Bombyx mori: one gene and its partner. The protein of the gene in region 2 binds, or shares a complex with, the protein of the main gene of each other region. Links are inferred from orthologs where the notes say so. Each region holds a gene or a part of one and is shown on either strand. Other genes may lie near its edges.

Evidence for each region.
Region 1: the proteins of apoptosis-inducing factor 1, mitochondrial (region 2) and mitochondrial intermembrane space import and assembly protein 40 are in contact, whole or in part, in a cryo-EM structure (PDB 9GQZ), measured with the Homo sapiens proteins. The link is inferred for Bombyx mori from reciprocal best matches to the Homo sapiens genes AIFM1 and CHCHD4. Residues at the interface, in NP_004199.1 of Homo sapiens: Pro345, Tyr347, Ser500, Ser501, Leu502, Pro503, Thr504, Val505, Gly506, Val507, Phe508, Ala509, Lys510, Glu558, Asp559, Tyr560, Asn602, Ala605, Lys606, Phe608, Asn609, Ile610, His611; in NP_001091972.1 of Homo sapiens: Arg5, Glu7, Lys9, Asp10, Arg11, Ile12, Ile13, Phe14, Val15, Thr16, Lys17, His20, Thr22, Pro23.

Annotation. Positions count from the first base shown.
Region 1 is NC_085131.1:14,550,709-14,555,123, forward strand, and holds the start of mitochondrial intermembrane space import and assembly protein 40, read left to right. Parts: upstream 1-1,350; 5' UTR 1,351-1,547; exon of another isoform or gene 1,548-1,796; intron 1,797-2,388; exon of another isoform or gene 2,389-2,436; intron 2,437-2,576; exon of another isoform or gene 2,577-2,586; 5' UTR 2,587-2,821; intron 2,822-3,909; 5' UTR 3,910-3,916; coding exon 3,917-4,149; intron 4,150-4,415.
Region 2 is NC_085120.1:1,544,325-1,547,647, reverse strand, and holds the end of apoptosis-inducing factor 1, mitochondrial, read left to right. Parts: intron 1-1,350; coding exon 1,351-1,560; intron 1,561-2,025; coding exon 2,026-2,292; intron 2,293-2,683; coding exon 2,684-2,755; 3' UTR 2,756-2,821; downstream 2,822-3,323. UniProt on the Homo sapiens protein: Functions both as NADH oxidoreductase and as regulator of apoptosis.

The DNA of each region.
Region 1 (4,415 bases), on a different chromosome or scaffold from region 2:
AAAAAGTATTGTTGTTATTTTAAAATATCGGTCAAAACAAAAAGTGGGTTCTTCACGTATCTTGTAAAAGATGTAGAAGAAATCTAAGCTCCTGGGCTTCAGGTGGAAACAGGTCTTCGAATTTTAATATGGCAATGAAATGGAGGAAATTAACTATCCAATCCACTGGTTTATGATCCAATCCGAAAATGACAGCTACTTCTGTTTTACAAACACATTTGGTTTTAATCACAACAACAAAGCTAAAATTATAAATACGAATATTTCCTTCGGTTACTAAGCCATATTTTTATCGCTGGGTAATCCGTTTGCGAATTCCCGGTTGAAGGGGGTAACAGACCGGGTTATGTCGCACTCCGGCGTCTCCAAATAAGAAGAGTTAAAAGAGGAAAGCTGAAGTCCTCCTCCTCCTCCAATTCCTCTCAGGAGACTAAGCCTTGAAAAAAGCTATGACTACCGACTAAATCCCATCGAGCTACACCACACCAGCTAGAAGAAGCATAGTGCGCGGCGAAAGTCCGCCTTCGCCGGTATCCGACAGCCCCTATCCTGATGATAGGACGGGATTTCAACCCCGGGAAAATCCTGAAGGACGTCGGATCTCAGGAGACACATCGTGGGCAGTGCACAAGAGCCACCTTGCACTGCCTCACCACCGGACTAACCGTTGAGTACCGCCGGACACCTCCGCACCCGGCACTCGACAGCCCCTACGGGGCCGAGCAGGGGCCTCGCGCCCGCGTTTCCCTCCCCGCTTATACGCTGAGGAGCCGTAGAGGGACCCTTTCGCGCTCCTCCGCCTCATGGAACGCTATGACCAGGTAGGAAAACCTGGCCATGGCCTCCCACGAACTCTGTTCCTCTAACATCTGAGGAATTGTTTGAGATAATACCATCATCTCGTTTTTACCATCGGACCGCCCGCCACCGGAGTAGAGTTCATCCATACTACCTGGAGCCACTGCGTTCATCCACAGTGCACTTCCAGAGATCTTTTTTGCCACGTACCATCCGGCTTTGGAATGAGGTCCGCTCCACGGTGTTTCCCGAGCGCTATGACACATCCTTCTTCACACAAGGCTTGTGGAGAGTATTTAACGGTAGACAGCGAGTTGGCTCTGCTCCTGGCATTGCTAAAGTCCATGGGCGACGGTAACCACTTACCATCAGGTGGGCCGTATGCTCGTCTGCCTATAAGGGTAATAAAAAAAAACCTCGATATCTGATTTCTAAGTCCCAGTTTTACAGAACGGCTGCCCCATCCTTTAAGCCCAAACGTATTATTAGTACGGTGTAGTGTGCAACTCGCCTAACCTTATATTTGTAACTGCACACACTAAATTGTGACAGAATTACATGAATTGTCGACTTGAACAGTTCTATTTTATTTCACCTACAACACTCCAATACAACGGTAACGGCAGTAATGTACCTAGATACTACCTAGTGGTACCTAAGTACCTATCTGTGTGGATTCACAAGACGCCCTATCACCAGCAAAAATGTTAGCACAACAACAGTTCTTTTTAGTCCTTATCATAGACAATGTGAGTAAATTCTTTGTCGAACTTATTAAAAAAAAGGCTAATAACCTATAAAAATAAATAATGTCAACTGTCACTTCAACGTTCAGATATAAATCAACATTTTAGAAATGAAATAGGGATACATAACATTGTGATCAGTTTTATTTCAATAAAAAAATTCAGGGCGTCTCTGAATTTAGTGTAAAGCGAATGTTGCCTCAATTCTTTTACCTCCAAGTTGAGTAAGTGGCAATCACGATTTATCCATCAGTTAGTACACAACTAAAGAATCAGAATCTTGAATAAAAAAATTATAGTTTAAAAAACCTAACAAAATACGCTTTTAAAGAAAATCCAACAAAAAAATAGAAAATAAATTTTAATAAATTTTAATTTAAAATAGTGTAAGAAAAAATGATATTATTGTAAAAAAAAAAAGCGTGGGTTGCTTTTCAGGATATTATCAAAATAACCCTTCTACTCATATATGTTCATAAAATATTTATAACTACTGATACCATGCACCCCACAATTTTTTTACACTATTTCAAATTCAAATTTATTTAAATTTATTTTCTATTTTTTAGTTGGATTTTCTATAAAAGCATATTTTGTTAGTTTTTTTAAACTATTATTTATTGTTCATTTTTTAGTTAAATTTGATTTTTTTCAATATTTTTTTAATATTGAATTGTCATCAGTCCTTAATAAGTATACCAAAATTTGAGTTAATCTGTCTTAATTAATGTTAATCTTTCTGTTCTGTCTCCCCAGTATTACTTTAAGTACAATGCCGATTAAAGTACATCTACTGCACTGCTCAACACTACATCAATTTTAATGATATTTGCTGTATTTATAGGTTTGCCATTGACCAAGGTGGCTTAACACGAGACTGTATTGAACAAATGTTAATTTGTTGCAATAGTAGTTTTTTGAATTTTTGTATATCAAATTTTGATATGAGGGGTAAATTGTATAAGTTAGCAACACTATAAAATAAAATATATCTGTTAGTTATTTAGACTAGTCAACTAGAAATAATTTTAGTTACTTGTAGGTGTAACAGTGCACAGAGTGAATTATCACTACGGCGTTTGGTAGAAGAAGCGTGCAAGACATTGTTTGGTGAAGTGGGGGGCTCGATACCTGTGGATGTGCTATCAGTGCAAGACAAGACAGCTGTATTGCGAGTAAATAGCACGGAGTTCAGGAAAGTCTGGGCTGCTCTTACAGTAACTACCCAGTTACGAGTGCATAAGGTGTCTCCTTCACTACAGGCACTTGTATAGGCAGTGAGTGTCACAGTTAAATACATAATCTTACATAAGTCACAATCTTGATTTCATATTGTAGGGATTTAACAAATTATTTATTTGCTAGAATTTAGGATGATATTTAAAAAGCATACTTTATGCCCTTAAATTCATTCTTCATATTCAAGATATGAAAATATTTTTATATATTACATGCTCATTGAGTGCCTTGTATTGTTCAACACCCAAAGAAATGAATAAACTTTGAACTACACTCAAATTATCACTTGTGCCAAATGTGCATCCTTGTTACCTGGCTGCTTAACAACGATAGTGTTTTTTCAAGAAAAAAACTGACAGCATAAAACTGCCAAACAGAGAGGTAATAATGGGTATAGATAAACATTGAATAATAATAGAAGCACAGCGAAACTTCAAAGCTTTCAAAGTTTCAAAGAAAAGAAACTATGGAACTTGGAAAATAGGAAAAGAAATTAAACAAGCAATAATCAAATGACATCAGAAAAACAATAGAAAGTCTCTGGCAGTTTTTTTTATTGCTTAGATGGGTGGACGAGCTCACAGCCCACCTGGCGTTAAGTGGTTACTGGAGCCCATAGACATCTACAACGTAAATGCGCCACCCATCTTGAGATATAAGTTCTAAGGTCTCAAGTATAGTTACAACGGCTGCCCTACCCTTCAAGCCGAAACGCATTACTGCTTCACGGCAGAAATAGGCAGGGTGGTGGTACCTACCGGCGCAGACTCACAAGCGGTCCTATCACCAGTAATTACGCAAATTATAATGTTGCAGGTTTGATTTTTATTACACGATGTTATTCCTTCACCCTGGAAGCCAGTCATGAACATTTGTATAAAGCCTGTGTCATTTCATAGAAAGGCAAATAAACTCACAGTCAACCTGGTTTGAACACATCTTTAGGGATGAGGTGTAAATCTCAATTTTAGGGTATAATGGCTGTTCCACCCTTTAAACTAGAATGCTCCTTTTGTGGCACAATTAAGTAGCAAATTGTATATCAGGCAGTACAAATGTATTTAAAGTGGATGCAATATGCTGTAATAAGTATCATAATAACCTGTGTATTGATTTTTTTTTTAAGATACAACATGTCGTCTCCATCAATTCTACCTGCTGGGTCAGGCAACAAAGATATAGTGATTGTAGCATCACGCGAAGAGTTGTCTACACCAAGTAGAGTATCACTCCCGGACCCTGAACCGACACCTGGCCTCATTCTGGCAGATGGTTCCATCAATTGGGGATGTCCATGTCTTGGGGGTATGGCCACTGGTCCTTGTGGGATACAGTTCCGTGAGGCATTTTCCTGCTTTCATTACAGGTTCGTATTTCAATTCTTTGATCAATATATTTCAGCTCACTATCTTTTCCAACAATTCAAAAGACAACTACCATACATCCTTTGAAAGAATGCATGTCTGTATTTTCCAAATGATGACATCTTTTGTTTACTGTAGAACATACGAACTGTAATAATGAGGGTTGCTCAGTCCAGCAACTGGAACCCCGAGCTCGCTAGTATCACTTGCACTCAGGCCCTGTTGCTGAAGTGTTCTGAATCCAGTGGCTCTCGCAACTATTACATAA
Region 2 (3,323 bases):
TGAAGGGTGGGGAAGCCGTTGTAACTATACTGAGACCTTAGAACTGATATCTCAAGGTGGGTGGCGCATTTACGTTGTAGATGTCTATGGGCTCCAGTAATTGCTTAACACCAGGTGGCATGTGAGCTCGTCCACCTATATAAGCAATAAATAAATCGTCTTTATATAAAGATTTATTGCTAAAGGCAGAACAGAATTGGCTTGAGCAGCGGAAACACACATCGTCTGTAGTATTTCTTTTATAAAATAAACTCAGTGTCAGTCAGTTTCCTTTTTTAAAAACAGCTCCTGGATCAACAGGAGCACGGCGCCCGGGACTCAAGTGAGCTGTCTGCAGGCCCCAACATAATGGCTCGGCCCACATATGTACATGTCTCGTCCAGACCTATATAGGCCATTTTTTTTTTTATTGCTTAGATGGGTGGACGAGCTTACAGCCCACCTGGTGTTAAGCGGTTATTGGAGCCCATAGACATCTACGACGTAAATGCGCCACCCACCTTGAGATATAAGTTCTAAGGTCTCAGTATAGTTACAACGGCTGTCCTACCCTTCAAACCGAAACGCATTACTGCTTCACGGCAGAAATAGGCAGGGCGGTGGTACCTACCCGTGCGGACTCACAAGAGGTCCTACCACCAGTAAATAACTATCACAATTTTTTTCTTATTGTGGTAATATTCTTACGACTCATTTAGTGTTTAGTGGTTACTAGAGCATATAGATATAAAAAGAAATATTGTTCTCCGATGAGTCACTTAGTCGCTTTTCACGCCCTCCACAGGAATAAGTGGTGAGGTGATGTTTGAAGTCGGACACCGCACAGCTAATTCCTACTAACTGCTGCTTTTATTTACTGACCCTTGCTTACCATGAGTAGTGCACCCCGTGCGTGGTGACCTTGTCTGTGGTCTGAGCTCGATTATCTGTTGGACCTTACTGCAAGCCGCCCGCCACTGGCTCCGTTTGTGACTAAAATCTTAGCTTCAATCTAATTGAATATGCAATTTTGAAAAGGGCACATGTCGTATATTTTGTCAAATATGTTTTTTTATATACATGTAGTTTTGAGGCTTACCTACCTAGATCCATTTTATAATAATTCCAATAATTATCAATTGCTAATTATCACTAAAATATATCTCAAAAGCTAATATTTTAAATTTTACACTGCTTTAGAAAATAATCAGTTTTTTTCTTTTATGAACATTTTACATCTTCAGAGATGTGCCCTTTTCGAAATTGCATATTCAATTAGTGTGAAATATTTGATTTATTTTTTAAAGTAATAGAGCTCCAGTGTGAATAGTGTAGGACAGTCGTGTTATTGTACTGGGCTGGTGTGTGCAGGCCCGGCCGCGCGTGTGGGCGGCGGGATCTGCCGCGTGCCACTGGGCGCCGCGGGAGGGGCGGCGGCGGGGCGGGCTGCACGACCACGCCGTGACGTCAGGGCGCCGCGCCGGGGACAACATGCTGGCCGACATGCTGGGCACCGCGCCCGCGCCCTACACGCACCCGCACATGTTCTGGACCGACCTCGGGCCCGACCTCGGATACGAGGCGAGTGTACAATCTTGTGACATCTATGAGTACCCGTAGTCACTTAGTGCCAAGTGATTTTAGATCTTATATCTATATATATAAAAATGAATTGCTGTTCGTTAGTCTCGCTAAAACTCGAGAACGGCTGGACCGATTTGGTTAATTTTGGTCTTGAATTATTCGTGGAAGTCCAGAGAAGGTTTAAAAGGTAGATAAATTAATGAAAATGCTCGGAATAAAAATAAAAATAACAATTTTGTTTTTTCTTTTATTTATCGATTGAGGCACTACGAAGTGCACCGGGTCAGCTAGTAAATAAATAAAATTACTTAAGTAAGCTTGTCTTGAAAGTTGGTTAGCGCTAATCAGATATTTGTCACTCCGGTCACACTGACCGCACCGGGGCGCGGGTGACCGTACCACACGTTGTAAGTAACTACATTTTATGAATGGATGTTTTATGAATTATGTTTAAATATTCAGGCCATCGGCACCATCGACTCAAAACTAAAGACCGTCGGAGTGTTCTCTGAGGACGCCGTCACGGAGCTCCGGGCCCACGCCGCCGCCGCCGGGGAGGGGGACGCGGGGGGGCCGGGGGAGGGCGCGGCCGGGGCGGCGGTGAGGCTGGAGGGGGGCGCGGCGGGGGGCCGGCGGTACGAGCGCGGCGTGGTGTTCTACCTGGAGGGCCGGCGCGTGGTGGGCGTGCTGCTGTGGAACCTCTTCAACCGGATGCACGTGGCCAGGCAGGTGAGTCCCAAGGGATCCAACACTACACACTGCTGACGATGGTTTTTTGAATGCCTAAGTGGGTGGACGAGCTCACGGCCCACCGTTAAGTGGTTACTGGAGCCCATAGACATCTACAACGTAAATACTACCTTGAGACATGAGTTCTAAGGTAGATTTTAACACTATAGCGGCTGCCCCGCTCTTCAAACCGAAACGCATTACTGCTTCACGGCAGAAATAGGCAGGGCGGTGGTACCTACCCGCGCGGACTCACAAGAGGTCCCACCACCAGTAATTACGCAAATTATACTTTTGCGGGTTTGATTGTAGTATCTTATCTTTAACTTGTGACCGCTCGCGAGTCTGCAGCTGCTAGCTAACCCACTGCCCCCCAACCCCCCGCCCCCAGGTGCTGGCGCAGGCGGAGTTCGAGGACCTGTTCGAGGTGGCCAAGCTGTTCGCGCTCCACGAAGACGAATAGGCGCTGCATTTAGTTCTTGTTGTATATATTTATGTTAAAATAGATTATTAAAGATACCGATGAAGTTTCGACTGTTTTATTTTATCTTACTAGTGGAGTGAGGCGTGCGAGCGCTGCCGTCTTGTCTATTGTGTATATGGAAAACGAGCTCACGGCTCGTCTGGTGCTAGGCGGTCACCCCGTAGACGCCACAACGTAGCGACCCACTTTGACACATGACGTATTGTCACTTGTCAAAATGCCGAATCACTCTGTTTCTTTGTTACCACCTTATCCCACTAGGTTTTCTATTCCATTCTCTTCTATCAGCAATCCCAACACTCACTCCTCTCTGTCTCATATCCATGTGTTTTTCGGTCGACCTCTTCCCCCTCTACCTTGCACTACCATTTCCATACCTCTCCTAGTCACATGCATCGTCTCTCTACGCATCGCATGTCTGCTCTTTAATTTATCAATCACTTCAGCTACTTTCACACTTCCTCTGATATATATAAAATGCCGAATTACAACAAAATAAATATATTTATAAAAAATGTTAGTATCTATATTTCGTCAGTGGTCATCG